Linked DNA regions of Mytilus edulis. The protein of the gene in region 1 binds, or shares a complex with, the protein of each later gene. Links are inferred from orthologs where the notes say so. Each region holds a gene or a part of one and is shown in the gene's direction. Other genes may lie near its edges. The genes, in order: RNA transcription, translation and transport factor protein-like; protein archease-like.

Evidence for each region.
Region 2: RNA transcription, translation and transport factor protein-like (region 1) and protein archease-like share a complex: the UniProt entries of both Homo sapiens proteins name them as parts of the tRNA-splicing ligase complex. The link is inferred for Mytilus edulis from reciprocal best matches to the Homo sapiens genes RTRAF and ZBTB8OS.

What each region holds. Positions count from the first base shown.
Region 1 is NC_092346.1:102,671,899-102,688,987, reverse strand, and holds the start of RNA transcription, translation and transport factor protein-like, read left to right. Parts: upstream 1-10,895; 5' UTR 10,896-11,006; coding exon 11,007-11,067; intron 11,068-14,185; coding exon 14,186-14,410; intron 14,411-16,645; coding exon 16,646-16,735; intron 16,736-17,089. UniProt on the Homo sapiens protein: RNA-binding protein involved in modulation of mRNA transcription by Polymerase II. Component of the tRNA-splicing ligase complex and is required for tRNA ligation.
Region 2 is NC_092355.1:81,404,608-81,421,294, reverse strand, and holds the start of protein archease-like, read left to right. Parts: upstream 1-8,283; 5' UTR 8,284-8,411; coding exon 8,412-8,457; intron 8,458-9,598; exon of another isoform or gene 9,599-9,700; coding exon of another isoform or gene 9,701-9,746; intron 9,747-11,537; coding exon 11,538-11,562; intron 11,563-13,578; coding exon 13,579-13,589; intron 13,590-14,145; coding exon 14,146-14,259; intron 14,260-16,687. Other genes in the region: uncharacterized protein, read right to left, coding at 43-155, 3,437-4,433, 8,139-8,210. UniProt on the Homo sapiens protein: Component of the tRNA-splicing ligase complex required to facilitate the enzymatic turnover of catalytic subunit RTCB. Together with DDX1, acts by facilitating the guanylylation of RTCB, a key intermediate step in tRNA ligation.

The sequences.
Region 1 (17,089 bases):
TATATACATCCTCATCCAGTTTGATCTTATAGTTGTCTCATTGGCAATCATACCAAACCTCCTTATTTCTACATAAATCAACTACATGTATATGCACAACAACAACAACAACAACACAACAATTTGTTTTTGTCAAGTCAACACGCCCCGGTGGTGATTTTTTTTTATTGCGTGAACTATTTGAAAGGAGTAGGTTCAGTAAGACCCCTTTTTGGCCCCAAAATATAGCAGTTTTACAAAATTGTGAAATTGTAATCTTTTGGTTATTTATTGGAAAGTAGAATGCTTCTGCTACATAAATATAGGCTGTTTTTTGACAATACAATGTACATATATCGGGTTCTGGCATCATTAAGTCATGCTAAATTACTGAAATCTGCACAATTTGTGAATTTTAGTTAAATTTTAGACGGTTTCCGTCTAAAATGAAAGTGGCCGCATTCGTGTTCATTCATAATATTAAAATGTAAGTTGTATTTGACGATAATACATAACATATATAAAGGTTGAGGATGAACACGAATGCGGCCACTTTCATTTTTGACAAAAACCAACTGAAAAGTGACGTTATTTGGCATATTTGATAGATTTTCCATATTTAAGCTTGAATCGGAGCGTTTTTAATGACTCAATCAGTTAAAATCTTTCCCAAAAATTAATCAAATCAATTGAAATAGACACTTAAGTGTTTAAAAAGTGTCCAAAATCTTTCGTTAGATGAACCTGAAATTTGAGGCCAAAATCGGTCCTTACCGGACCTACTCCTTACAATAAAATGTCCATGAAATTGCCTGTTGCAATTCCCAAACATTAAGGAATGACGGTATCTCCCTCATGCAAAGCTCTGATTCCTTGTCCTGCCTTATAATTACACTTTTTTGTATTTTTTGGTTTATAGCTTTTCATTCTTTTTAACTTAAGCCGTGGATTTTCAAATATATATTTAAGCCTCCAGCATCACTGAAGAGACATTTATCGTCAAAATGCACATCTGGTACAGAAACTGATTTGGTACCGTTTATGTTATCATCTCATTATGCACAAGTTCAAGTTGAAGTAAAAAGAAAACAAGAAAAGTTGTACCTAGATTTTTAACATATTTGATAGGAATACCCATGAATATTTCAGTGCTGTAAAATTGCTGTAAAAATACCAAATCACACATTCTTGCATAATAATAATAATAATAATAATAATAATAATAATAATAATAATAATAATAATAATAATAATAATAATAATAATAATAAAAATAATAATAATAAATAATAATAATAATAATAATAATAATATTAATAATAATAATAATAATAATAATAATAATAATAATAATAATAATAATAATAATAATAATAATAATAATAATAATAATAATAATAATAATGTAAGGCATTGGAAGTACTTGTTATGATATTATAAATTCAGAAAAAGGAAATATTATTCTTTTAAACATAACGGTTGTGTTCTTACGCATAGTAACTTGGCTCGCACGAGCAAGTAAAACATTTTTTTAATCAAAGATATGGCATTAATTTACTATTTTTATGTATGGATTTCACAGGCCAAAGTTTCATTTTGTTGTTTACCAAATATAAAGGGGGGAAGCATTTCATTAGCTAAAACATAGTTTTACAAGTTAGGTGTGTACATATGTTAGTACTAGGGTGATAATTATCAAGTTTATCAAATTTTTAATGTGTAAAACACTGGAAGTGAAATGAATTTTTCATTTGTTTACATTTTTTGTTGTACAAGTGTTACGGCAGGGAATGTATGTAATTACTCATGGCTTACCTTCTACATGCTATATATCATGTAATTCCCGTATTAAGGATCATTTCTTGTAACCAAATATTCATATTTAAACGTCTAATATGCCTGATATACATAGGGAAATACTTCAATCGAATTGTTTATTTACGGAGACTTTGTCGTCTGCCATTTTGTGGGGACCGAAACATGTGTTTTGATATCTTTAAATACCAATTCGTCCCCTGGACATTTGATCTAATATTGTATTTTTAATACCACAGATAAGATTTTTAATAAGTATACCCTGCCGGACACAAATATATTGTAAATATTTAGATGGTTGAAATGAACTATGTTGTATGTTATTTACGTATTATGTAATAACGCAGATCGTCTGCTAAATCAATGCGCGCGCAGTGGTGTCCGATTGTTTATTTCAAGCTTCTTTATCGATATTTTAGATGCTATAGCTTTGTTTTGATATTTTATGTATAAGGACAATGTTCGGACAACTTAAGATGATATGTATATTATGTTTTTCATTATCTGAAATTTTTATAGTTCCGGCTTCCCGGAAAGGACAAGTTTCCATTGGATTAGTATGTCACGTGACAATAAGCCCTTTCACGATAAATCCCGAGCATGCGCATAAACGCTTCCGGACGGCAACTTGTTTACACTAGATACCAACATGGCGACCCGGGAAAGTTTAAATAAGTTAAATCTCAGTTCTTTAAAGATTCTTGCCGCGGAGCATAATATTGAAGTGGAAAAGAAGAAAAAGGAAAGGATAATTTCGGATATACTGACAGAACAAGTTCCTTCATCTACCTTAACACCGATTATCAAGCAGGCAGTCCTAGTAGGTGATGTGACGATTCCCAGTGAACAAAATGAAAACCTCCCGCCCTTCAATAGAGTGACTTACACCATCTGTGACCAAACCAAATTTCCAATAATCAAATTTGCAGATATTTATGATTTTATGGTAACAAGACCTACGTATTCAGTATATAAACGCGCGAGCACTCAGCAATGGCAGATAGCCCAAAGTTTTGCTGGCGGCAAGTTCAAACCTTGGAAAACAAATAAAGTAACTATAACCTTTAGGTGAGAATAAGGATAACATAATGAAGTTTAATGATATGTAATTAGCCGTCTTTTGTACAGTAAGCTATCTCCCACCACGTCGGACACCACAAATATGTATTTAAGGATTTATGATTCAGTACACTTGAACGCAACTGTTTATTTATATAGTTTTACGATGTTATAATGTTACATACTTTTAACAGTGAACAAATAAAAACTGTTAACATTGGAAAGATAACTTTATTTTATTGAACTTGGACACATACAAAAAGCACATGAATTTACACTGATGAAAACAATAGATGTTGGAGGACGCTCGTTCAAACATAAAAACTATGGAAAGCCGTTAGGAACAAAATTAGCTCAGTAACACTCGAATACAAGGGATTGCTCAATACATACATATTAAACATTCCGAAGACCATACCTGACAAGTAATTTGGGAAGTTTAATACAAATGTAGAGTTGCTACATGAGTCACACACTGTATTTAAGTGTTATTAAAGTAAACTACCGAGTATAGGACAGGATGCTCTCGGGTGGCTTACAATAATAATAATAATAAATTCTTTATTTCAAGACGGTAAGTCTAATTTTCATTAAGGCCCTCAAACAAAATACATGCATACACTTAAAATTCATACATTAAAATACAATATAAATTACAATATATATTACTAGTATATACACAATTCAATCATTCAAATATACAAATGGTAATAAATGGCAATACTTGATAAAGTCTTGTTAAAGGAAAACAAATTATTTGACTTGCATATAATTGTCAAGAAAATGATTTATAACAATGTTTCTTGAATAATTCCACATTACGACATTTTTTTTATTTCGAGTGGTAAATTATTCCATACTTTGGTTGCAGAATAATGAAAAGATTTTTTTATAAAAATTTGTATTTGGTCTTGGAACAAAAAGATCATTATTAGTAACAGATAGAAAACTCAGGGTTAGAATTTATAGAACAAAAAAGGGGCAGTGGCAAATATTTCATGTATATTTTGAACACAGAGAGAATTACGACGGCACGCTTTGCCAAAAAAAAACCCTTCTTTTTCTTATATGTGCCTTCGAACTTTATGTTTTGAATTGTATTTTCACTTTCCATATTCGGTATTTATTCTAATGTAAGCTCGACGTGGTAAAAATCACGTGTTGCAGTATCTTTGGGTTAGGCTATTTCTTTCTTTTTGGGCGTATACTCCAAGCAAACAACATGCATGTGTATATTAAACGGCACTGTAGATTTTCGTATTAAATAAAGAAAGTTGCCGGTCCGGTACATGAACAGATTGGTTAGAAAGCAAGGTTTTAATTTTAATTAGATTGGAAAGCTTAATTCGAGGGTTGAAATTAGAGGGCACAAAAAAAAAGGGGGGGCCACAGGGAATATTTTTATCTGATTAACTCTACATATGAAAGGTTTATTATTATTTTTATTTAATTAAAAGACAAAAACGAATGTAAAACAAATTGTGAATGGTCTTTCTACCTTTCTCCGGAGACAGATCCGTCATCGTAAGTTGTGGTGTTGCACATCATCAATATTTAGCATTGCTAAGTAATCAGGTGTTAGTCTATTTACAATTTTATACATTAGAATTGATTGTTGGTATTTTTTAATATTCTTTTGGTAAAAGATAGCCATTTTAAAGATGGAAACATGAAATTAGATGGAATAGAAATATCGCATTCCAGTATATTTCTTGCTACTCTTTTTTGAAGTTTTATGATTCTATCTGAATCTTTTTGTAAAAAATTTCCCCAAACTGAACTACAATAGTCTATATATGGTAGAATATATGCATTATAAAATAGTTGCCTTGTGTGTATTGGCAAATATACTTTAATTTTATATAAAAGTGATATTTTAGATGAGATAATTTTACATATATACGATCAACATGATCTTCCCAGCTTAAATTTTCATCAATGTCAATTCCAAGTAATTTGAAAGAATGGAAATTCTCAATGCATGTTTCGTTGACGGTAATACATAATTCTGATAGTTGTGTAAGTTTTTGTTTTGAACCTAAATTTATACGCTTTGTTTTTTGTGCATTGATTTTCATACTGTTATTGTTACACCAAGATTGTATAGCATTTAAATCATTTTGCAATATGCTGTTTATTTTTTCAATGTTTTTATCATGAAAATGCAATGTTGAATCATCAGCATATAAATTCATGTTGGATTGTATAACATGAAGTGGTAAGTCATTTATATATATCAAAAATAACAGCGGACCTAAAATAGAACCTTGACGCACTCCATACTTTACAAACGATTTATCAGATTTAATGTTGGCGTATTAGACTTGTTGTTGTCTTTCAGACAAATATGATTTTATTCAATCTATCATGTATTCTCCGATATGATAAAATTTTAACTTTTCTAAAAGTATGGCATGGGTAATAAGGTCAAAAGCCTTACTAAAATCTAAAAACACTGTACCAACTATTCCTCCATTATCTAAATATTTTAACCATTCGTCAATTAGTTTAGTTAGCGCTGTTCCTCAACAAATGTACATATATGCAATGTTATGTAAACTAATGTGTTTTTCTGTATACTACCTTTGTCCAACTTAGGTGATACCAGAACAAAATGATATATATGGCACGAATGACCTTGTCTGAAACCTGACTGGGCGATATGTAACAATTTTGTATTGTTTAGGAATTCATATAACTGTGTGAAACATGTCTCTCGAAAATTTTAGATATGGTATTTAAAATAGAAATTGGACGATAATTTGAGGGAATATCTCTTGGTCCTCCTTTATGTATAGCAGTTACTCTGGCAAGTTTTAATTTTTGCGGAAAACGATTTGAAGTTATACTTTTGTTTATTAAAAAAGTTAATGATGGCGATATTATTTCTGCACATAGCTTTAAAAAAATTGGGACCAATTCCATTTAAACCTGTGGATTTATTAATATTAAGATGTTTTAGTTGAGAACACACCTCTCCAACAGACATGAGTTTTAAAAAAATTTCAGTTTTCTTTAATTTTTTACCAGTAAAATTTTGTAGCATAGAAAAATCAATATCTGAAGTATTATTTCCAATAAGTTTTTCAGCTACGGATGAAAAATAAACATTAAGGATGTACTTAGGTGAGGTTAGGTGAAAATTAATAAATTGAGAAGTTAAAATTGATACTATAAGCTGGTAGAGCATCAATTAAGGATAAAAATAAGCTAAACATATTGATAGGTCATGGACCTCCTTTACGAAATATTTGAGATTTAAAATATGGCGGGAAAAGGCTGACTCGGGCTTTTACCTTATATTTGCATTGGTATTATTAGGTCTCAAAGCAAAAGAAAGAAAATTAAGAATCTTCTGAAATTTGGTAAATGACCTTTCATGAGCTATTAAGTCTTAAATGAAAAAATAAATGGGTGTTATGGGGCAAAATATTTTACATTGTATTGTATGGAAAAACACCAAGGGGTCCGAACATTTGACACAAATTCCAAAACCTCACCTAAGTACATCTATAATACTAAAATTACGAGGTCCAATTTGTCAGCCGTCATCACGTAAAAACGACGAATCACAGAATTCAACTTTATATATAACTAATATAGTACAAAGGTGTAGGTTAAAAATTTTGTTTTCCACGTATTAAATTAATATTGCCAATAATGAAGAAGTTCCGGGTCGAGTCCGCTACCGATACCAATAGTATATTCACCTGTTACCTATTACCTTATCTGTACGTTCCGCATCTGACAGGCGCACCACCAAACGTTGTATTCAGGATTAATATGCTATATACACGGGTCATAACCACAGGGTTGACACTACTAAATTGTCAAATTGTTACCTATTGTTGTATTTTAATCAGTTAGACTTTCTAAGATAACAATACGAATACTAAAAATCTGGACTAAAAATAAGGCGTATCAGTAGGTACAGTTTTCAATTTGTTAGTGGGCATGACGTAAAACAGCGAGGCAAAGAATTCAACTTTACTTAAAACTTATATAGGACAATGCTGTTGATTAAAAAATACTCCATTCCAGGACCTTTTGTTTTCCAAATAATTAATATTACCAATAATTGATAAGTTCCAGTTCGACGGGTTCAAACAGATAGACTTGAAAGCAGAGAAAAACTGTGTATCTTATAATCGGCACGACTTTAACAGATGACAATAATAATACTAAAATAAGGCTTGCGCATAGTTATATACTTTAATTCAATCACGGACCCGTGATATCACGGGTGTGTTCTAGTCCTTATAAAGAGTATTTACAATATCTTGGTTTTTATAAACAGTTTGATTTTCATACTGCATTTTAGTTGGAAAAAATATTATCCTCTTTTGGATTTTACTCTTTAATATGATTCCAAAGTTCTTTACTATTTTTGGAACTAGTTATAGTTTTGGTAATATTCCTTTTTTGCATTAAAGAGGGGGGCAAGGGGGGTCCCCATAACAGCAAAACAGTGAATTGATTTGGTGAAAAACAGATAACAAGGAATTGAAAAGGGATAATAACAGATAACAGTAAATGAAATATGAAAATAAATCTGCCCAGGACCAATCCAGTAGATGACTCGTAGATCTTAGTATATAACTTGTGGTATGGACCTAGAAAATTGTAATTTGTGTAAACAAGACGTTTCGGCCGTTGAGGCAGTTCTGCCTTGGTTGATTTTTTCCGTAACTTGTACAATAAGTTATAGTATGATTGTTGAATTTTTCTAAACGAAATTACTAGTTTCTGTTTTTGATATAGGGAAATTTTTAATCTAGGGCATTTTTGGGATCAATTGTTAATGATTTAGGTTTTTTTATTTAATTTTTGAAAATAGTGCAGCCAGTGACACTTTATTATCAAATTGATTTTTAGATTTTTTTTCTTCTGAAAAGCAATATACATACTTTACAAGTAATAAAAAAAACCATTGATGCACAATATATTTTTTTTATTTAATGACCTCATGATAAAACTTACTTATAAAATACAAAAATACCCAGATCAGTTGAGACAGGACATGTAACTGAAACACGCATGCCAGTTATGGTTCTTCTGATAATAGAAATTGCCTCAAGTGACAATTCTGATAGGATAATAGAATTTGGACCGAGTGAAAATTTGGATGACACCAAGTGAAACACCAATCATGCATCTTATGTGAAATTATAGAATATGGAAAATTTGGGTACAGCATTGGAGAAGCTGTAGGATTTTTAAAAGGGTATTTGTTGAAAAATTAAACTGAAGACACATCTTTATTTGCATCAATGGTTTCAGAGCTTCAATTTTCGCCATGTGAAGCAGTTAAAAAGCTTTTAAAAATATGGTGGTCAGGGTTCTCTTTCATGTAAATGAAAATAGGGGGGAGTAGCACTTATAATATAAATGCTAAAAGAAAAAGATGTTGTATAATTTCAAAAGTCATAATTCAAACCCATACCACTTAGTAATATAAAACAATTCAAAGGAGAAAACTAACTGCCTAATTTATCCACAAAATAGTGAACGAGAAACTTAGTATACAGTAACAATCTACAATCACTGAATCCAGGATCCTGACTTGAAAGTAGGCACATACAGAATGTGATTGCGTCAACGTTAGCATGCTAGTTGGTGTCCAATCCTCCCCTAATCAGGAACAGTGTTGAAACAGTACAACATAAACATTATTATGTGGTCATTGAATAAAAAAAATCTATAGGGTGTTGGGTGTTCCAATGCTTTTTTTATAACAAAATCCATACTATAAGTTAATGTACAAGTAATAATTAAGTGAATTATAATTTGTACAAAATGCTACATGTTCACAGACAATGGAATTTATTACAAAGTATAATAATAATATATACTGGAATGGTCCTGGGTCCAATTGATTTTAATATGTTTATGTGATGTCAATCTAATTAAAAACCGATCTCTCATCGCTCCTGTTTCTGTTATGTCGCGTCCCACGCGACATATCAGAAACAGGAGCGATGAGAGATCGGTTTTTAATAAGATTGATGTGATGTATGTTACTGAAATTCTTCTGCAAATACAGGGCCACCCGATATTACCAGTAGAAAGACCCCAACAGATATACATTGTAAGAAGGTGTGGTAAGCGTGCCAATGAGATTATTATCCATTCAAATTACAATTTTCAATTATCTTCAAATTCTACGGAAGATTGGCTGTCAAAATGCTAACATTCCAATTTTCAATAACAGTTAACAGCAAATACATTCTCACAATAACAGATAACAAAATAGATAATAGTCCTATAACAGCTAACAAAGAATAAGACAATAACAGCTAACAGTAAATATATTTTCAGAATAACAGATAACAAAGAATTAAAATGCCCCATAACAGCATAACAGTTAAACCCCTTGCCCCCCTCATTAAATCAAGGACGTATATTAAGTTGTATATATACGTCCTTGATTAAATATTAACGACGTTGTTTTATTACTCCACTTTTTAAAGTTTACCCAATCTTTTTTTGAATGATACATATTCCTATATTGAATAGAATTTTTAATTTCTTCATTGAACCATTCGGCTTGTTTAAATGTTTTTATTCTTTTAGTTTTCATTGGTGCATGCTTGTTAATAACTTGATTAAAAAGTTCATACCATTTGTCAACAGCAATATCAATATCATCTTCCATTTCAACAATATGAAAAGGGGTTTGATGTAAGTCTGTACAAAAGGCATCTTCATTAAATTTTTTGAAACACCTATACTTTATTTCGACACGATTTTCTTTCTTTATCTTTATATTGATTTTTCTATTCAAGCATACAGGATATGGTCATATGAAGGAACATGACAATGGGCAATATTTTCAGGATTAGTAGTGTAAATCTGATCAATTAGAGTTTCCGATTTGTCACCGTGAAATACGTGTTGCAGTGCAAATTTGTTGTTGAAGATTAAAATTGTTTATGAAATTCATCCATTTTTTATTCTCAATTTTTATCAAGTCAATATTAAAGTCCCCCATTAAATTTATCTCTTTGTTTTCTGAAAGAGCTGCATTAAATTCCTCCTCAAAAAGATCTATCCAGGACTGAGGGGAATTTGGTGGTCTATAAATACTGAGTACAAATGAAGAAAGGTTTAGATTTTTGAAATTCTACCTCTAACCATAAAGTTTCTAATGTATTAATGGATAAATCAGCTCTATTTTTAACTGCAATAAAATCTTTGACATAAACCAAATGGCCACCAACATCCTTACTCTGGCGATCTTTTCTGAAATTTTTTATCCTGGCACTTTATATTGTTCAATGTTAATATTAACTCGAATAATTCAAGCCCTTTCCGTGTCCGATTTTCTCCGACACATGTAGCCTTCGTAGATTTTAAGAATGTATCAACTAAGGGAGCTACCATTTGATTTTTAGGGGGGGGGGGGGGGGGCTAGGATGAAATTTGAAAAAAATAGGCAGGACAGGAGTTTTGAGTTAAAAAAAAAGGCAGGATGAGACACTTTGCAAAAAAAAAAAGGCAGGATGACCATTTAGGTAAAAAAAAGTCAGGATAAACTAATAAGAAAAAAATGCAGGACCGAATAGAGTGAAAAATAAAAAGGCAGGACAGAGATTACAACTAAAAAAAATGCAGGACAAAATTTTTCATCCTAGCCCAACCCCATAAAAATCAAATGGTAGCTCCCTAACCCAAATAAATCTAGATATTTGTTGTTTATAGTAATTATATTTTTTAACTCGTCAAATTTAGATAGAATATGTCTAACATTAAGGCATACAGCATTGAAACCTTTACATTTTATTAAGACAGTTTGTTTGATAATGTTTGTTTCTATAACTTTTAGGTTTTGAGCTGAAGCTATTAGCACATATACCATTTCCTGATTTATGACAATTTTCTCTAGAACTTTTGCATCAGGCCTTACCTTCATAAATATATTTGAAACAGCAGCTTTCATACAAACATTCATCAACCTCTAATTGTGGTAGTTTGGGTATGCTTACGGTACATCGATGTCCTTCCATTAGGTTTCTCTTTAAGGGAAATAACTCAAATAACTCATGTGCACAATTGACTGGTTTATGATGAAAACTGAAACCAGACCACAAAGTGTGGAAACGTTGTCGTTGGAAACTTTTACTTTATTTTTTCTGTAACCTGTTAGCTAAATTATGTACAAAAGAAAACTCTTAGCTTTAGATTATCCTCAACCAGAGACGTTTAATCCCGAAGGTAGGGTATTGTATAGGGCTTAGAACAGTTTGTTTTTATAAGATGCAGCACCGATGAGACCGGTGCCCAGCCGTGTTTCTCTCCGTGTACTTCGGCTTCCTCCTCCATAATATCAATGTCCTGTATCATTACACCCCCTGGTAATTGGGTAACGGATTGTCCGTGGTGGTGAATTGTGTATAAGTTCCTGAAGTTAGTGATACACCTTAATTAATCCTTAAATCAATATCAATGCCAAAATGGGGAGTGTACACAGATTCTACTGTACCCAATGTTCGACCATACTTGTTTAGACAATACCATTGCTATCGTCTACTGTACTGTCATTTGGGCCACACTTTGTTAAGTCGTTTCAACCATGGGTTTTGTATCGCCTGCTTTGAAAGTCCCAGAATACAAGATACACAATTACAATCTGGCAGAGGTAACCACAACTGCGTAAATTATGTGTCATAAAAGCTTTATACTTCAGAAGTAAGAAACTATCCATAAACTATTTTAATGCCCCTGCGGTAGCAGAGGGGGCATTAAGTTTTACCCTTGTCCATCTGTGCGTCCATCCATCAGTCCATACATTCCTAAATTGGTTTGCGTTTTCTAACTTAAATAGTTTGTCTCAACCAAATGTATTGAAACTTATACACATTGTCTCAACCAAATGTATTGAAACTTATACACATTGCTTATTACCAAAAAAACACAGGTCAAGACTAAATTTTGGTGGTGTCACTTATACAGTTCAAGAGTTATGTCCTTTTAGAAAATCAAAATGTCTGTTCTGAAAATATAAAAGTTCATTTTTAAAATATCTTTGAAAATTGGAGTTATCTTTCTTTGTCCAGAATGGTAGTTAAATCAACCAATGGTCCGTGACCACAATTATTTCGTAGTGCATTTCTTTTAGAACATAAATGAAAAATTAAAAAATCCCACCTGCGCTTTCTCAATGAAAATTTTAAAGTGTGTTGTACTACTTTTGGGATAAATTATATTAAAATTACAGAAAACTTCATCGACTCTAACTCAAAATATGGACAATTTTATGTTTAGGGCGTCTTGAAATCTTTTGACAGCTTCTGAAGTGCTTATTTTAAACCTTTTTTAACTGGACCAAATCACTACTTTCCTTTAAAATTCTGGACCCAAATTTTTACCCCCCTACTTGCAATTTGAGGTATTAAACATGGAGAAATAAATTTTTAAGGAGTATAAAAATTAATGGCAAGTAACCCACTGTCAACACTATGGACTATATTTGTGGACAACGAAAATCAAGGGACGACAATTGTGGTCTTGGACCCAATGCTTTATTCATTTTTACTTCCAACTGATAAATTAAAGCAATCTTTACAAATCAGTGCTTACTGTTGTCAGGTCATTAAAGATTGCATATTTTGGCGTTAATATTGATTCACTTATAGGGTCTTTGCATCGGAACTAAACACATTTATTAAAAAACCATTTGTTGGCATGACACGGGTTATGTTCTTCTCATATATGTTATGATGGTATGATACTAAACCCCTAACGGGAAGGATTGTGCCTGATGTTCATATGATGAAATCATAATCTTTCAGTCAGTTTAATTGAAGTCTGGAGCTGGCATGTCAGTTAACTGCTAGTAGTCTGTTGTTATTTATGTATAATTGTCATTTTGTTTATTTTCTTTGGTTACATCTTATGACATCAGACTCGGACTTCTCTTGAACTGAATTTTAATGTGCGTATTGTTATGCGTTTACTTTTCTACATTGGCTAGAGGTATAGGGGGAGGGTTGAGATCTCACAAACATGTTTAACCCTGCCGCATTTTTGCACCTGTCCCAAGTCAGGAGCCTCTGGCCTTTGTTAGTCTTGTATTATTTTAATTTTAGTTTCTTGTGTACAATTTGGAAATTAGTATGGCGTTCATTATCACTGAACTAGTATATATTTGTTTAGGGGCCAGCTGAAGGACGCCTCCGGTGCGGGAATTTTTCGCTACATTGAAGACCTGTTGGTGACCTTCTGCTGTTGGTTTTTTTCTATGGTCAGGTTGTTGTCTCTTTGGCACATTCCCCATTTCCATTCTCAATTTTATTACAAGCACTTTGATTACCATTCAAGGGTTATGCCCCTTTACAAATGGAAAAATTACTAAATTTTTTCATTTCCATTCTCTCACTTTAAAAGTTTGTCTCAACTAAATTTACTGAAATGTATATACATGTATAATGCTTATTACCACTAAACTCAGTTTAAGTTCAAATTTTGGCAGCTTCACTTTTACAGTTCATGAGTTATGTCCCTTTATAATGTTAAACGCTAGTGGGGGCATCATCTGTGTCCCTATGGACACATTCCCCATTTATTTTGTACTTCAGAGATTCTACAAATGTTTTTGTATACTTCGTCCTGAAGATGCTGATCTAATGCTGATCTAATCGGGGTAGCATGTTGATCGATAAAAGATGCGGTTTTCTTAAGTGCTGCTGTCAATTTTGATAGCAGTATTTATGATATTTATTTCACAGTGGTTGGATACAAGAATTTTTTGGATGAAAAATGAACCTTGAAATAGATAGTTAGGAATGGAAATGCAAAGACTCAAATCAAGCAAAAGCTTTATACATAAATGTATTTGGCATGTCACATAACAATAACATAAGTTCTTTGGGGTGTTATAATCAACTATCTATTATGACTGTTTTAAGTCATACAGGTAACTGTACACTCTCAATGATTTACTTGTAAAAAAAACCCAGAAAACAGTAGTCTACAAAATACAACAAAGAAAAATAAAGACTGAGCAATACAAAAACCTGGGTAGATCGCATGTGCTCCTAAAGGAAAATTGGAACGCATCCTTCTGTGAAACAAGTCGTAAATTATGTTTTAATATTATGTTTGCACACAATACATTGTACATGTTCATGTACATTTCTTCTGTAGCTTCCCCTTGCAGACATTTTCCTAAATATAATGATAAAATTTTTAAATGACAAGTCTTAGAATTGTACTTGAAATTTGAATAGATCCTGGGGTACATTTGTACATGTAGTTGTTAGCTCCTAATACTAAAAGTTACATTGGCAATAGACAGTAATATAATATATTACTTAAAATTAATATTTTTCAGATGAGAACTACTTTAGAAATTTTATTGTTTGGTTGGAAGACCAGAAAATCCGACATTATAAGATTGAAGATAGGACAGGGCTACGTAACATGCCTAGCAGTGATTGGACAAAACATTTTCAGCAGTATTTAGAGGATTTAGGATGTCCTTACCAACCATCCCAAAGATCTTTATTAATTGATTGGATATTAGGATATTCAGTCAGATTAGAATATGGTGATAATGGTAAGAAATACAGATATAGATTGGAATTAGAATATTGGCCAAGTTGGGAGAATGGTACTAAGTAATGGCAATTTCTGAGAAAAGTCTCTGGCTGGAAGAAAAGTGTATTTATATTAATTTGAATAATCTTTCCTGGCATTGACATAAAAATACCATTTTACACACTCTATATTTTCCCGACAAATTGGATATGTGCAACAAACAGCCTTACAGAAATACCCACAAAGAATATATTTTCCATACATATGTAAATACATTCTGTTTATACCAAAATAACTTTTTATGCCCCACCTACGTTAGTAGAGGGGCATTATGTTTTCTGGTCTGGACGTCTGTTCATCCGTCTGTCTGTTTGTTCGTCCGTTCGTCCCGCTTCAGGTTAAAGTTTTTGGTCAAGGTAGTTTTTGATGAAGTTGAAGTCCAATCAACTTGAAACTTAGTACACATGTTCCTTATGATATGATCTTTCTAATTTTAATGCCAAATAAGAGTTTTGACCCCAATTTCACGGTCAACTGAACATAGAAAATGATAGTGCAAGTGGGACATCCGTGTACTGGGGACACATTCTTGTTGGGTAAAGCTTTTGCTCATATTTAAATATTTGAAAGATAAGATCTCAAAATGAGGCTATTTTGGTAGTTATGTTATTGATTGATGGATACTTGACAGTTTATGCATTTTTGCACAAATTTCAAGAAGAATTAACTGAAAAAATATTAAAGATGACTCATAACTGTAAATGTTGATGGGCAATGGAGAAAGTATAAGGTCTCTTTTTTGCTTCTTGAATCAAAAATAAAAAAAAGTATCACAAATCTACCAGATAACATATACAATTACAATGTCTTAATGAGGGGAAACTAGAACATTATAATAATGAGAAAACGTGGTATGATTTTTAATACAAGACAACTATCCACCAAAGTTAAATATGTTCAAATGGTGTGGATGCATTTATTCAAAAAAAATAAAATAAATGTTTTAAATCTAATCTCACCTATCTATACTATTAAACGAGAAGACCTCATTTTTGGTGTCGCTTCTCTCCTTTCCACAATAAATTAATCAACACGCCTCTGTGTCCTATAGGTACAGTGCATAGTCGCATTTGTCATCCATTCATATGATTATTCAGATTGAGTTATTTTGGGAGAAAAACGAGAAAAAAGGCATCCGGATATTGTCCCGTCATTGGACAAAATTTTAAGTCAGATAAGACTTCCGGTTTGCGTTTTTCTGTATACTTTGAACATACATAACCGTACATACATATACAAAGAATAAAGTGTATTTTCAGAATTCTATTTGCTATCATTTTCAAGTTTACTATCCACGGCGGTCACAGAGTTTCTTAAATAGAGAGGGTCTGTATACTATATCAATGACCACCATGGATCGATATTGAAAGTAAATACACTATATTTTTAGAGTAATGACTCGATGATGTTCATAATATACAGATAAGCGCTAAAAATATTCATGTGAACTTTTGATACCTTTTCTGAAATTCTCCAGTCATTAAATCTTTTACAAAATTCATTGATTACAAAAAAAAGAAGATGTGGTATGATTGCCATGTTGAGACAACTCTCCACAAGAGACCAATATGACACAGAAATTAACAACTACAGGTCACCGTACGACCTTCAAAAACGAGCAAAGCCCATACCGCATACTCAGCTTCAAAGGCCCCGAACTGACAATGTAAAACAATTCAAACCAGAAAACTAGCGGCCTTATTTATGTACAAAAAGTGAACGAAAAACAAATATGTAACACATAAACAAACGACTGAATTACAGGCTCCTTACTTAAATGTTCATTACATACTAAATGAAAGAGGGACGAAAGATACCAAAGGGACAGTCAAACTCATAAATCTAAATGAAAACTATGTTCATATTGAAATTGATAGAAAACCAAAAATTGGGAATTTTGGAAATAAAGGAGGAGGGATGAAAAATAAAAAGCATTTTCCTGTCCCAAATAACCTATATATGACTTATGATACTTTTGCTGAAATTCTCCAGTCATTCAATATTTTACAAAATTCTTCCAACAACACTTTACATACTTTAAACTACGCTCTAAATGCCCGCGATTTCGCGGGTGTGTTCTAGTAGAATTTAAAGAGAAAAGAACTTAAAATATCTTGATCATGTTGATGAAAAATTATGAAATATTTAATTTTTTGAAAACTGAAATGTATGTCATAAATGTATTTTATTTCAGTTGACCAGTATAAAACAGTTACACCAGAGAAAGTTACACAAAGTAAAGCACCCCCTGGGGTCTCTTCAAATCCATTAGATAATTTAGATTGTAAGTATCAGTAGGTTTTGTAGGAATTACATGTATAATTCATTTAATCGGTATTGAAGACTGTGACAGGCAATATCATCACAGTTCCTTTAGTTTGCCTCAAATGTTATGAAACTAATACACAATGCTTATTACCACAATACTCATATCAAGTATACATTTGGGTAGCGTTGAATTTACTGTTCTTAAGTTATGTCCCTTTATAACAATATTGTCTTATCATCAGTCAATCTGGAAACGTTAAAAGAAATCGTTTCTTTAAAGCAACGAGGCCAAATAATAGTGAAGTCTCGTACTGTTTTCTAATGTTCCTCTAGAATAAACATCATGGTTACTGTTGCTGAAAATAAAACA
Region 2 (16,687 bases), on another chromosome or scaffold:
AATTAAAAAAACCCCAGTAAATATATATTTGTTTATATTTACATTTTTCCTGCTATCAATAGCCTGCTGTACCCATAGTAACTCCATAGCAACATTTTTCCTCATCCCTCTCAAGGCCTCAGGATCATTGGGGTATGCAGTATTAGCTGAATTATCTAAATAAAAAAAACATACTAGGTGTTTATATCTTTGTTCAATCATGTTGTTTTGGCAGCTTAACCATTTGATGTTTTAATTTTACATGTGACTACTTTCCTTTGATCAAAACTTCACAGTTATTCAGATATCCTATACACATTGCAGGGCTCACACTACTTCAGAATCAAAGGGAGAAGTGACCTCTCTTTTTAAAACTGATAGGAAGAAGTGGTGAGATTTGAAAGAGATTGTATATTACAGGTTTAATTTCCTGGTTTTGTCTCTTAATAGGATTTCATGCATTTGAATTGTCCAGGTATTGTTTTCATTCATCATCTAAATATTGAATTGAGTCATGTCATAATGTAATAATATCAAACAAAGATGCTAATCCCCTGTTATTTTAAGTATGTTCAACCATACAAACCCCTGTCACATGTGTCTTAAACAATGTTAAATATTTTCATCCCTTGTTATCTTGAATATATGTTTTTTTCAAATATGTATGTCATGTACATGTACGTGATAGTCAATAAAGACTCAATATGTATGTCATGTACATGTACGTGATAGTCAATATGTATGTCATGTACATGTACGTGATAGTCAATATGTATGTCATGTACATGTACGTGATAGTCAATATGTATGTCATGTACATGATCGTGATAGTCAATATGTATGTCATGTACATGTTCGTGATAGTCAATATGTATGTCATGTCATGTACATGTACGTGATAGTCAATATGTATGTCATGTACATGTACGTGATAGTCAATATGTATGTCATGTACATGTACGTGATAGTCAATATGTATGTCATGTACATGTACGTGAAAGTCAATATGTGTGTCATGTACATGTACGTGATAGTCAATATGTGTGTCATGTACATGTACATGATAGTCAATATGTATGTCATGTACATGTACGTGATAGTCAATATGTATGTCATGTACATGTACGTGATAGTCAATATGTATGTCATGTACATGTAGGTGATAGTCGCTTTATTTGGTTTAAACACTAACAAGCAATGTTTTGGTTTAATTTGGGTCTGATTTGTTGCAACTATTCCACCACTGTTGCATTTTTTTTATAACAATTCATTGACATTGCTTGTCAGCATTTTATTTTCCCAAGTATGGTAAATGGTTTAGAACAAAATGTTGTTTTAGTCATGATTTATAAGAATGAAGTGTGAGTCAGACTCTGCTTCAGTATCATCCCATTGTTGTCATAGTGATGATTTATAAGAATGAAGTGTGAGTCAGACTCTATAAGAATGAAGTGTGAGTCAGTTGTCATAGTCATGATTTATAAGAATGAAGTGTGAGTCAGACTCTATAAGAATGAAGTGTGAGTCAGTTGTCATAGTCATGATTTATAAGAATGAAGTGTGAGTCAGACTCTGCTTCAGTATCATCCCATTGTTGTCATAGTCATGATTTATAAGAATGAAGTGTGAGTCAGACTCTGCTTCAGTATCATCCCATTGTTGTCATAGTCATGATTTATAAGAATGAAGTGTGAGTCAGACTCTGCTTCAGTATCATCCCATTGTTGTCATAGTCATGATTTATAAGAATGAAGTGTGAGTCAGACTCTGCTTCAGTATAAGAATGAAGTGTGAGTCAGACTCTGCTTCAGTATAAGAATGAAGTGTGAGTCAGACTCTATAAGAATGAAGTGTGAGTCAGACTCTATAAGAATGAAGTGTGAGTCAGACTCTATAAGAATGAAGTGTGAGTCAGACTCTATAAGAATGAAGTGTGAGTCAGACTCTATAAGAATGAAGTGTGAGTTCAGTATCATCCCATTCTATATCAGAAGCAAGTTTGGCAATGCGTAATTTTTTTATCGATGATACCACCTGTATGTTTAGCACTCGCATTTGTTTTGTCACAGCTAACAACTGAATATTTAGGTTCCCTTTGAGGCCACAAACAATTTAACATGTTGTAGTTTTGTTGTTTGAACAGCAAGCAGTAGACTTTCTTTCAGAGCAATATAAATATGAAACTCCTGTTAAATAATACTTTATTTACATGTAGCCATGGGTTCTTACGGAGTTGTAGCCTTCTCAATTAATAATTGTATATAGGGAATTGATTATCTGACTTGCATACTTTAAAACATCCGCAAATCAGTCTGTTGTCAACCGTTTAACAGAATATATAGCTTTACTACTTGCTGTGTTGTTTTTCTGTCTCACCGACTCATGGTTTGCCAAATTTTTTTTTATTAACTGGTCCCTTATGTCAGTGATATTGTTGTCTTTTTTCAAAACTACCTCTACCGTTTTTTATTGGGAAAAATGCATATTTTTTATTGAATTTGGGAAATTTGTATTTTTTATTCTTAACACATTTCCGATTTTTTGCTGAACTTTGCTGTCTTTTTTGCACTGTTTTTTCATGCATATTTTGGTTGTCATACATTTTCAACCTGAAAGGTACTTTTCAGAGGGGGGAAAGAAACCAAAACAATGATGGTACTTAATGCATTGAAAACCACATGTGTTACAAACACCATGATGATTCTGATCAGAACACTGGATCTCAAAAGTGCTTTCTAATATCAAAATAATAACATGAATACGAAATTTACAAACATTACTACCAATGCCATCACTGTTTTGGGAAAATGTTAAAAAATTTGGGAGGAATTTTAAGCCCTTTTTTTTAGTAATTGGGAATTTTCTCTAGGGGAAAAGGCCGAATTTCGGCTGTAATTTGAGGCAAACAATATCACTGTATGTTTACCAGCCATACAGCTTTCAGTAATAGATCAGTGTTCTCCCCAGGCCGTTTTAGCATCGCGGTACCGCGACGCTATATTTTCTTCCTGTGACGCTATAATTATTTCCACGACGCTATAATTATTTTCAGGATGTTATTTTTCTTGTTTCTTTATGGCAAAGCCATGTCTTAAATTTTAAACTTTCATCTTATTACCGCTTGTGATAAAAAAAAATGTATCACCTTTAATTGAATCCCCTCAAGTCAGACAATAGGGGCAATATAGAGTAATTAAATAAGTAATTCCTTCCAACAGGGACCCAGATCAGTAATTTAATGTAACACTCTATTTTAAGACAAAAATAGAATTCCAAACTTTGATATTATAAAAATAGATTTATAAGAAAACAATTTATAGATAAATATAAATGACGAACATGAGAGAGGCAGGTAGTGTTTAGAACACAGATTTGACTTATAATTTGGATGAGGTTGTTGAGTAAACAGTATCTCAGTACATTGATTTTTCCTATTTTTTCACCTGCATTTACTTACCTTTACAATCAGAGCTAAAGCTATCCCATACTGAAGTCACATTAGTTAATACAGAGGATTCTTGATGATAGCTTGGATGTCTTCCTCTTTGAGATTCCATTACAGAAGATAATTGAACTGTCTCCTGTTTAGGAGAACCTCCAAATTCTAGTGCAGGAATAGGACCTACTTTCTGACCCAGTTGTGAAGGAGTTTTGTTATTTTGAGGAGATGTTTTCCTTGAATCTTGTACAGAGTCTTTCAGTGATATATCGTTCAGTGTCCGTAGTTGGTTTTCAAACTTGTTGATCTTTTGTTCCAATATTTGTCTATTTGTAGTGTGAACTTGTGTGCTCCCCTTTTCTGTCTGTGTGTCTATATTTGTTTCTTCCTTGTAACAAGGTAGATCATCAGTCTGAATCAACATATCATATGTTCTAACTGGATTTTGTTGTCCAGTTGTCTCCCTTGTTCGTTGTTCAGTTGTCTCCCTTGTTTGTTGTCCAATTTTCTCCCTTGGATTGTTATTTTGGTGTGTTTCTACCACTGATATAGTTTCTTCGTCCATACTAGTTTGTGTTTCAATGGTGCAACTGTTGATTTTATTTGTTAATGCTTGATGGGAGAAATTAGAAATAACTCCTGATTTTCCCTGTGATTCTGTATGGTATGGAACAACAGGTTTAAAGGGAGTTTCAGAGAAATCACTTGAGTTGGAACTTCTTGCAGAATTTATCTGATGAACTTCTGTCGTGTCTTTTGATTTGGCATGAATTTCATGATATTTTATAGAGCTTCTCAGAGATTCAATATTTGGTGAGTTACGTGCTGAGACATTAGGAGTAACTTCTCCAACATTTCTCTTTAGCTTGTGTTTCCTGACTCTGGGCTTGCCCAGTGCTGCATGTGGCCATTCCACAATGACTGATTTACTTTTTTCAATATCAGAAACTATCTTTTCATACTCTGATTGCATTCCTTTAAACCATTTTCTGACTATGACTCCTCTGATCCATGCCTAAAAGTAAAACAAAATTCTTTTATCTGTAATTTTCCCCGTCTTTTTCATGTGAAAAATCTGTAAACCAACAAATTAAAAAACCCTGGCCTTAGTTTAAAAGCACAAAAATTTGTAAGGGTTCAGCGGAACCCAGTGTCTCGCCTTCTTTTGCTATAAGTCACAGACTCAACCTAGATGGTGAAAAATTATTAAAAATTTCCGCTGGATATTATCTTTTGATTTGAAGAAGCTTCTGTGAGTTTGGTTTATGAATCTAAATTTTTTTTTTAATTTTTTAACTGCAAACTGTACATGCTGCATGTAATGTTATCTTGAAAAAAACTAAGTCCATTTATACATTTGTTATAAGTACAATGAAGTAACAACAGAAAACAGGATTTTTTTTTAACAAAATGTCCTTGTAGACGTATTTACTATCATTTGGTCATAAACAAGCTTCTGTCCAAGTTAGGTACAAATTCAGGATAGATAAGAAAAATTTGTAATTAAAAAAACCTTAACCATAGAGTGAATGTAATCTTAACTGGCAGAAAAAACAACATGCACACATGAAAACAGTTAATCTTTTTGAGGCTTAACAAGAATGTGTCCATAGAACACAGATACCCCACTCACATTTTCTGTTTGATAACACAAATATAAATTGTACAAAACTTTGATTTTCCTTATTGTTCTTCATCCCATAAATTTTAGAATTGTAAAATGGGTAAAAAAGGGCTAACTGCGAGTGAGAAAAATATGTCAGTATGTTTATTAGGACAATCATATGAACAGCATTGTATTAACATTGTAATGTTTGATTCGGCCACACAAAACATGATTAACACATTTTGTAACAGGCCTCGACAATAACGCTTGTCTGATTGTCTGGTACCAGAGGGAAAAAAGGTCAGACAGTAAAAGCTGTATCAAGCTTGTCCGTTGGGGCAAGTGCAATTATTCTGCAGAAAATAAGTTTAATCCAATTTTGATGAACAAAGTAATAATAAACAAAAAACAAGAAAACAAATATTAATTTGACAAGTTTCTGTATTCTGTTTATTCAAGTGCAAAACCTTTTTCTTCGACATGTTTACTAATGCAATCGATAATTTTTAACTGGTTCTTTGTCAAGTACTTTTTAACAGGTAAAAGGTATACTATTCTTACTAATCCGAATCAATGATGCGCTTTGTAGATAAGATAACTTTACAGGACAGTAAGTTCGTCACCTCGTCACCTCGAAAGATTCAGCTCCAAGTTCAATAGACAGTTTGGCACAGTGGGAGACATATTTAGTAGACATGGTTGATAGACAGTTTGACATGGCAGGAGACATTTTGAGACCAAGACAAATCAGTACCTCATTTTGCTACCTTATTCTGTTCCTTATAATAAATACCATACCCGCAATTTTTTTCACAAAAATATTTATTTTTAATAGAATTTTTTTGGACAAGTAACAATTTCATTCGGACAAGTAAGTTTTGGTATGTACTTGTCCTACAGGACAAGTTGAAAAAAAAACTATTGTAGAGGCCTGTAAAAGGGAATATACATTGTATATTGTATAAAACAATGATTTAAGTTGATTCAACTACTATTCTGGACAAAGAAAGATAACTCCAGTTGAAAAAAAAGCTATTGTAGAGGCCTGATTAACCCTGCCACATTTTTGCACCCTTCCCAAGTCCATGAAGTCAGGAGCCTCTGGCCTTGTAAGTCTTGTATGTTTTCTTATTTTAGTTCATTTATAAAAGTGTTTTGGATAGGTATAGGAAGTTGTGGTGTGAGTGCCAATGAGACAACTCTCCTGGCATCCAAATAACAATTTAAAAAAATAAACCCATTATAGGTCAATGTAAGTCCTTCAACACGGAGCCATTTAATTTCCTTCTAGATATTATATTTTGATCATAACAAGTTTCTATCCAAGTTTAGTACAAATCCAGGATTGTTTAAGAAAGTTATTAAAATTTAAAAAACCTTTAACAACAGACATGACAGAGTGAATTTGTATTGTTTCCTGGCAGAAAAACTAAGTCAATTTTAAATTAAAATATGGAAAAAAACAAATTATTTTTTTAACAAATTTACTTCTAAATACTATTTATGATCATAAACAAGTTTCTGTCCAAGTTTGGTACAAATCCAGGATAGTTTAAGAAAGTTATTAATATTTTAAAAACTTTAACTGGTCCCAGAGTGAATGCCATGTAATGTTTACCACATCATGCACATGTACACAATCATGTACAAGTGTAAAGCAAAATATTGTCCTATGAAATATTGTACCACAAGACAATATTTCATAACTATGTAGCATGAAATATTGTGCTCGTCTATGGAAAAATGTCCAGAGAAGGACAAATTTTCATAGCGAAATTTTGTCTGTATAAAGACCATATTTCTCAGATAAATGTTATGGAATTTTGTCTTGTTAAAGGGAGGTTATATTTTGTGTGAATTGAGGCAATATTTCACAGATAAATACTATGAAATTATGTCCTATTAAAGGAAGGTTATATTTTGGTTATATTTTGTGGGTATTGAGACAATATTTCATAGACAGATTGTCATGGAATTTTGTCTCATGAAGGGGAGGTTATTAACATATATATTCATGTTAGAGAAGCCTCAAGGTATATAGGATTTTTTTCCTGCAACACATGCTTGTGTATAAATTTACAAAATAAGTGATTGTCAGTTCATTACTTATATTTGTACAGTATACTGTAATAAAATGAAACATGCGTAAGACAATTCTTTAATCTATAATACATGTACATGTAAACCATTTGTAATGTATCTATATGCAAATTTAAAACTCACTATTAGTAATTATATAAATTCCTTGCTATTCAAAACAATTTCAGTTATAAATCTAAAAATGTGCATGCTGCATGCTTGTGTACTATTTCTAATTGTATAATAATTTGATTAAAAATTATTTTCAAAGCCAGTATTTCATAGTGTAGTATTGTCATGAACAGAATTTCATAGTGAAATATTGTCCAGAAGGAGGTGACAAAATTTCATGGACAAGGACAATATTTCATATTATTTATTATGAAATACTGTCAGTGGACAATATTCTATATGAAATTTTGTCCGAAAGACAATATTTCATGGGGGACAATATTTTATGTTACACTAGCAGCAAAACTTTACAATTAAAATACGAAAAAAATAGAAATTTTATTTTTGCAAAATTTACTTCTGGATACTATCTTATGATCATATTAAAACAAGCGTCTGTCCAAATTTGGTAGAATGCTATGTCTGGCTTTTGCTAGCAAAAATGAGTCCTACACAGAAACAGAACCGGGTCCTATCGCCCAAAAACATGATCACACCAATTCACATTCTCTCCCTTTAACTCTCGCACCCTCGATTGCGCCCTTTTTATTGGTGTTGTGTTTATTAATATTATGTTATTGTTTAGGGGTCAGCTTAGTCAGTTATAGTCCAAGTCATAATTATTTGGACTAGGGTCAGCTGCAGAATTTTCTCACTGTGTCGAAGACATATTGGTGGCAGTCCATTGGGCATTTGCCATTTCTATTCTCAATTACTAATACTATATAGTATAATTTAGTCAAATAAAGGCCATTCTGACTACGGAGGCGATTTTCCTCCTTACAGTTACTGTCGGGTTTTTTCTTTTCTACTGCAGTAGTAATGTCAGGATTCTGAACACAACAAAAGTAAAATATTAAAGACCTGGATCTTAACAACATGTTGTTCATCAATTTCTAAATCTTCAAATTCACCACTATCTTCGCTGTCTTCCATGTTGGAACAAATATCGTATCTATGTCTCTGATTGGTCAATTCGGACGGAAGTTCATTCGGAACAAGGCTTCTAAATTTAGCACAGGGGTTTTACGTTGATAATAACACTCTTGTTCATTGCACAATATTTATTCTACGACCAAGTATATATATACAAGTACACATATTGTATGTGACAAAAACGATAAAAACACGTCAAAGATGGCAGGTGGTGATCAAAGAATAATTCCAGACATCAAATATGAGTGTAAGACAAATAGTTTATAAAACAAGATAACTCGTACTTTCGGCAAGTCGTACTCAACCAACTCGTACCCTATTTTTACCAACTCGTAACCATGTTTTATTTGATATTATTTATCAAGTTTATATGCATAGTTATTGTAACTTTCTTTCGTATATCATTAAATTGAGCACATCAAATGGACCAGAGTGATACCGTATTTTTGATAATGTCCACTACGAAACGGGTCAAATCTCCTTCAGTATCTGGTTTTAAAATTATGAAAATAATATCAGTGTACAGCTTGATAAATGCTTTGACGAATACAATCAGTCTTGTTACGATTGCAATATAGGGATTGTGGGAAAAAAATAAAACATGCGAATACGTCCCTTACGAAACGGTCCCCTACGAAACAAGTATGGAAGAAAAACGTTTCGTAGTGGACACTACCACTCCCATGCATTCTTTTTTTAATCTTTTTTCAATTATATTCGTGCAAAACAAATAACAAGGGTAAGTTTCATGTAATTTTTATTATGTGTTTATTAACATATGATAGGGTTGATGTCAACTACGAAACTTTTTGTCCACTACGAAACGGTTTTGTCCACTACGAAACGCATCAAAATGTCCACTACGTAACATAAGTTGAACCTTCATATGTGAAGTACTGTCTAATCTTTATCGATAAAAATGGTTTTCCAATTCAGAAAAAAATGATATTTTTCTAGTATTTAAAGTAAACAAACTGGAATGTTTATAGGAAACATTTAAAATTGCAAAAAACATGTGTGTTTAGAAGACGTTTCGTAGGGGACAAAAGTCCCCTACGAAACAGTACACAAATTATGAAAATAATATCATTTTAAAGAATATTTAAGATTGCACTTAACACGAAAAAAACTAAGACATAACGCAATGTTCAGTAAAAAATATCCTTTTCATATTCTATGGATCTACATGTACCTCAGGGTGCACTGGGATACTTCAGGGAGTTAAAATATCCATTTCTACGGATATAAACGAAGAAAACTTATATTATAATGCTAAAAAAATATTGGGTGCGACTTAGTAGAAGTACGAGTTGGTAGAAGTACGAGTTGCCGAAAGTACGAGTTGGCTGAGTACGAGTTGCCGAAAGTACGAGTTGACATGTATCCGATAATAACACTCTTGTTCATTGCACAATATTTATTCTACGACCAAGTATATATATACAAGTACACATATTGTATGTGACAAAAACGATAAAAACACGTCAAATATGGCAGGTGGTGATCAAAGAATAATTCCAGACATCAAATATGAGTGTAAGACAAATAGTTTATAAAACAAGATATAATTTTAAAAGAGTCAAGAGGGTTGTAAATGTTAACTTGTACATGTTGTAAGGTGGTCTCATTGGGGAGTTCTGATCTCAGAACCCCCTTACTATTTTGTCAGATTCACGTATTCTGCTTACACTATGTATGTAAGCAATTCTCTTTTTTTTTTGGAATTTCCTGTGTCCCGCTGGCGCTAGACCTCATTTCCAATTTTCGCGGCACAATAATTTGACTTTCATGTGTCACGCTTCCAAAAATCAGCAATCCTGCATCACGCAGAGACCCCAATGAGACCCACTTGCAATGTGGGTATGACGAATAACGGTAAAAATTCTTTCTAAATAACGTTGATGCATACATGTGACAGAGTTGTCAAGCCACAACTGGAGATTTGGAAATTTTCAGCTGGAGTTTTGGTCTCATAACTGGAGATTTTTTATCAACCTTTTTATTGACGTACGCAATGGTTTTTTTTGTGTGTTAAACACCTGCATATCAATTTTTACTTGATAAAAATAAAAGATAAGAGGTTTTCAAATATTTATTCATTATGTATAATTCAAGATAAAGTGATCAGTCATCCTACATGGTTCTGAAAAGCGGGAGATTTTGACTCCCGCCAGTAGAATCACATGTATGTTGATGGTAATTTTTGGTGCATGAAAATAGAATGTACACTTTCTATTAGAAAACAAACAAGTCCTACTGATCATGCTGATTCTGAATCATCACGTTAAATATTTTCCAAAAATGAGGCAAATGAAAATAATAAATTATTTGAGATTTCTAACAAATCATGTTTAGGATATTTTGAAGAATCATGGTAAAATTGTTTATAATTTGACACTAACGGTTGCCAAAAATGACTGTTTGATGCCTGACAATAAAGGGCATTACTACTCTCTTACAAGCCACAACTTGGCACAATTAAGGCGGTGGCTATGCTTAAAATGAAAAATGTAACAATAATGAAAAGGTTATATAGGGGGGGGGGGGGGGGGGGGACAATACCTTTTTGTGTTAACCTGTTATTTTCAAGGTGTTGTTAACTGTTATCTGAGATCAATTTAAGCTGTTAACTGTTTTTTTAACCAACTTTGTTAACTGTTGTCCACATTTTTGCATTTTTTGTTAACAGTTTTTGCCAAAATCGAGGTGTTGTTAACATGTTAATGGACCCCCTATTGTCCTCCCTCTATATAGCATCCTGGTAAACAGGAGAAATTGAAATACCATCTTGTTTCTAAAAATTAAAGCATCACATGTACATCCATAACATAATATATAAGAAAACCTCTTCCATGACTTCAGATAACATCACATTTAAGATTATAGCATCACATTATCATGATGCTAAAAGGCCCTGTGGAAAACACTGATTGTGTAGTTACATGTACACCGAACATGCCTAATATACCCATTTTATTTACACATATACATGTAATATACACATTGTTAATCTTACATGTCTTACTTACACATATATCCACATTGTTAGTTACACATACTGTAAAATCAGAAATTTTCGTGGGAGATTTAATTTTGTTTTATATTTCTTGGAAAGAATATCTCCACCAAATTAAAACCCCTACAAAGATTAACCTCTTTATCATACCACTTACATTTAAGGAAACTACACAATTAAATCCCCATGGAATCTTATGGAGAGACAAAACCACTAAATTTTAACCCCACAAAAATTAATGTTTCTACAGTACATACACATTGTTAGTAACACATGTATACACATTGTAATAAGTTTGTATTTGTTTTCAGATCTAGATCATACAGCTGATGTGCAGTGAGTATAACCATTAACTGAGTTAAACAAACCTTTAACTGAGTTACACAAACCGTTAACTGAGTTACACAAACCTTTAACAGAGTTACACAAACCTTTAACTGAGTTACACAAACCTTTAACAGAGTTACACAAACTGTTAACTGAGTTACACAAACCTTTAACAGAGTTACACAAACCTTTAACTGAGTTACACAAACCTTTAACTGAGTTACACAAACCAAGTTACACAAACCTTTAACTGAGTTACATAAACCAAGTTACACAAATATTTAACTGAGTTACACAAACCTTTAACTGAGTTACACAAACCTTTAACTGAGTTACACAAACCAAGTTACACAAACCTTTAACTGAGTTACATAAACCAAGTTACACAAATATTTAACTGAGTTACACAAACCTTTAACAGAGTTACACATATCTTTAACTGAGTTACATAAACCAAGTTACACAAATCTTTAACTGAGTTACACAAACCTTTAACTGAGTTACACAAACCTTTAACTGAGTTACACAAACCTTAAACTGAGTTACACAAACCTTTAACTGAGTTACACAGACTGTTAACTGAGTTACACAAACCTTTCACTGAGTTACACAAACCTTTAACAGAGTTACAAAAACCTTTAACTGAGTTACACAAACTGTTAACTGAGTTACACAAACCTTTAACTGAGTTACACAAACTGTTAACTGAGTTACACAAACCTTTAACTGAGTTACACAAACCTTAAACAGAGTTACACAAACCTTAAACAGAGTTACACAAATCTTTAACTGAGTTACACAAACCTTTAACTGAGTTACACAAACTGTTAACTGAGTTACACAAACCTTTAACTGAGTTACACAAACCTTTAACCGAGTTACACAAACCTTTAACTGAGTTACACAAACCTTTAACTGAGTTACACAAACCTTTAACTGAGTTACACAAACTGTTAACTGAGTTACACAAACCTTTAACTGAGTTACACAAACTGTTAACTGAGTTACACAAACCTTTAACTGAGTTACACAAACCTTTAACTGAGTTACACAAACTGTTAACTGAGTTACACAAACCTTTAACTGAGTTACACAAACTTTTAACTGAGTTACATAAACCTTTGACTGAGTTACACAAACCCAGTTACACAAACCTTTAACTGAGTTACACAAACCTTTAACTGAGTTACACAAACTGTTAACTGAGTTACACAAACCTTTAACTGAGTAACACAAACCTTTAACTGAGTTACACAAACCTTTAACTGAGTTACACAAACCTTTAACTGAGTTACATAAACCTTAAAATGAGTTACACAAACCAAGTTACACAAACCTTTAACTGATTTACACAAACCTTTAACTGAGTTACACAAGCTGTTAACTGAGTTACACAAACCTTTAACTGAGTTACACAAACTGTTAACTGAGTTACACAAACCTTTAACTGAGTTACACAAACCTTTAACTGAGTTACACAAACCTTTAACCGAGTTACACAAACCTTTAACCGAGTTACACAAACCTTAAACTGAGTTACACAAACCTTTAACCGAGTTACACAAACCTTTAACCGAGTTACACAAACCTTTAACTGAGTTACACAAAACTTTAACTGAGTTACACAAACCTTTAACAGAGTTACACAATCAAACCAAGTTACACAACATGCACAAACCTTTAAAAGAGTTACACAAACTTTAACTGAGTAACACACACCGAGTTACACTAACCTTTAACCGAGTAACTCAAACCGAGTTACATAAACCTTTAACTGAGTTGACAAAAATATTCTGAATCCAGATTTCCTCATACCTTATACATGTTAAAGCGTTAAATTTTGAAAAAATAATTTGATTGATAACATTGAAAAAAATAAAGGAAAAAATATTTGTGCTTAGTGTGATAAAAATTTCTGACTCAGACAAAAAGACAAAAATCTATAAGCATTGATTCATTTTGTAAGTGAATATTAACCATGTTAACATGATAAAAAGTCATTAATTATTTATATATATGTTTTAGGTTGCATGCATGTATCCTTTTGTTACCCAACAATATAAATAAATCACAGGTAATGAGAGTGTATGTAGTATATCATAGGTATGGACAGATATATTTGGTTGTTTAATGAATTATGTAATACATCTGAATCTTCATGCACAGAAATCAATAGAGAAAATGTGGGAGAAGTTATTAATCAAATGCAGATGCTATACACCAGAAAAAAGATGGCTAGATAATACCCCATGTAATGCTAATATTTCTGACGAAAGTGATCATGATTATTGCATTAATTCTAAAGTCTGAACGATGCCTCCAGTTTTTTTAATAATTTATAGATCACTTTTAACTCATTATGCAGACATCTCAAATAGAAATGTAATTCTATATTGCAGTTAAAATAAATGTTTTTAATTGTCTACATACGAATATGCATGTAACAAGTCAGGAATATGACAGTTTTTATCCATTCATTTGATACGTGAGAAGGTTATGATTTTGCCATTTGATTAGGGACTTTCGGTTTTGAGAATTTTCCTAGTAGTTCAGTATTTTGTTGTTATTTTTTCCTTAACTTGAGATTTTCAGGGGGAGATAATTTAAAAGAAGCATTTGAACAATGTGCAACAGCCATGTTTGGTTATATGACAACAGACTACAGTCGGGTAGAAATGACAGACACACAGGAAATAGAAGTGGAAGGTAAGGTCATGACACCAGACTACAGTCTCGTAAAATGACAGACACACTTAGGTCGTATTGTGCATTATCGCTGTTTTACAAAAATTTTACATTTATTTTATTGACTTATAATTCTTTTCTCAGCACAGTAGAGTGATATGAAAAATTATCGCCAGTAATTATGGGCGCACATGCTGTTGTCAAAGAAATAGACAACGTTGTTTTTGGTAATATAGCAATAAACAGATTAGCATTGGTCATCTTAGCTTGATTGCTTTTCTCACTTTCCCTGTACCAGCTCAAGCTAGAAAATCTATCTTGTTGTTTTGACCAGAGATAATCTATAAGTATGAGTATGTATGAAGAAGACTTTAAGGATGTACTTATGTGAGGTTTTGGAATTTGTGTCAAATGTTCGGACTCCTTGGTGTTTTTCCTTACAATACAATGTAAAATATTTTGCCCCATAACACCCATTTATTTTTTCATATAAGACTTAGAAGCTCATGAAAGGTCATTTACCAAAATTTAAGAAGATTCTTAATTTTCTTTCTTTTGTTTTGAGAACTAATAATACCAATGCAAATATAAGGTAAAAGTCAGAGTCAGCCTTTTCCCGCCATATTTTAAATCTCAAATATCTCGAAAAGAAGGTCCATGACCTATCAATATTTTTAGCTTATTTTTATCCTTAATTGATGCTCTACCAGCTTATAGAATCAATTTTAACTTCTTAATTTATTAATTTTTACCTAACCTCACCTAAGTACATCCTTAAGACCTCAATTGTTAATGCAGAAGTCAGCACTTTAATCATGTTAATGTTTTCATCCATCACACAAAACCAGTACATGTAAAGAAGACTTTAAGCTGAAGGACGCCTCCGGGTGCGGGAATTTCTCGCTACATTGAAGACCTGTTGGTGACCCTCTGCTGTTGTTTTTTAATTGGTCTGGTTGTTGTCTCTTTGACACATTCCCCATTTCCATTCTCAATTTTATTTAAGACCTCAATTGTTAATACAGAAGTCAGCACTTTAATCTTGTTAATGTTTTCATCCATCACACAAAACCAGTACATGTAAAGAAGACTTTAAGACCTCAATTGTTAATACAGAAGTCAGCACTTTAATCTTGTTAATGTTTTCATCCATCACTCAAAATCAGTACATGTAAAGAAGACTTTAAGACCTCAATTGTTAATACAGAAGTCAGCACTTTAATCATGTTAATGTTTTCATCCATCACACAAAATCAGTACATGTAAAGAAGACTTTAAGACCTCAATTGTTAATGCAGAAGTCAGCACTTTAATCATGTTAATGTTTTCATCCATCACACAAAACCAGTACATGTAAACAGGGGCGTAGCTACCCGGAAGCACGACAGCACGTACATCCACGTCGTTTTCACAAAACAAACAAAAAAACAAAAACAAAAAAGCAGAAGAGAGAAGGATGAGTTGGTCAATCGGAATCGGAGACTGTTGGTGTCTTTTCCGTCTATCGCGGATATTAGTTTGACAATCTAGTTACAAGTGTTGATGAAGCTGTTCATTCAGAAAAAGATTGTAGGTCCGAAGTTGCGTTCACATTGATTTGGCATTCAAAAAAGAAATGGCAAAATAAAAATTTATAAATTGAATGTTAATAAGGGAAACACCTATGTCGTCACTTTTTTTAATTGATGAAATATCATTAAATAACGACATTTGGTTTCATAATAAATTTTTTTTTTGAGATTATGACAAAATCGGAAGGTAACTTGTATCTTTTACAAGATTTTTACTTTTGAATTTGTAATACTCAGTCTAAGAATAAAGATATGTAGTTTTGGAGCACATTTTACAGTGTACAGTTCATCAGTTGGGAATGAGATGTACCAATCGGCATTAATTATCAGATCCCTTCGATATCGTTGAAAATATGCCAAGGCGATGTGGTTGACAAACTACCGGAGACAATCACCCTGCAACCACGCCAAAACAGTATTGGAAAGTCTCATTATTTTTTGCGTTTATATACCATTTGATAAGGCCACTGGACAGTGGAGTCGCATCAAGTTATCAGAAAATCGCTTCTTTGTGCTGTATCTGCTTCATCGTGTTGTAGGAAATATCACAAACGAACAAATCTCAATATTGTCTGAAACATAAGAAACTGACCTAGCATGTAATTTTGACGAATTCAATTGGGAGGTCGCTCGATGCGGAACACGTACGCTGGTTTATAACATCTCGCGAGTGCTACCATGCCATGATGGCCCTGAGATCTATCAGTCACGGTACTACGTATGTAATTGAAAACAAATGTACGATCAACAATGAACAACGAAAGTTACATAGCATTACTGCATATTCATCGGGATTTGAGTGTGAATGTTGACAAAGTGATAGAGAAGTTTGTTTCTGCCCAGACCTGAAGAGCAGATTTTGGACAATTTTGAGTAAA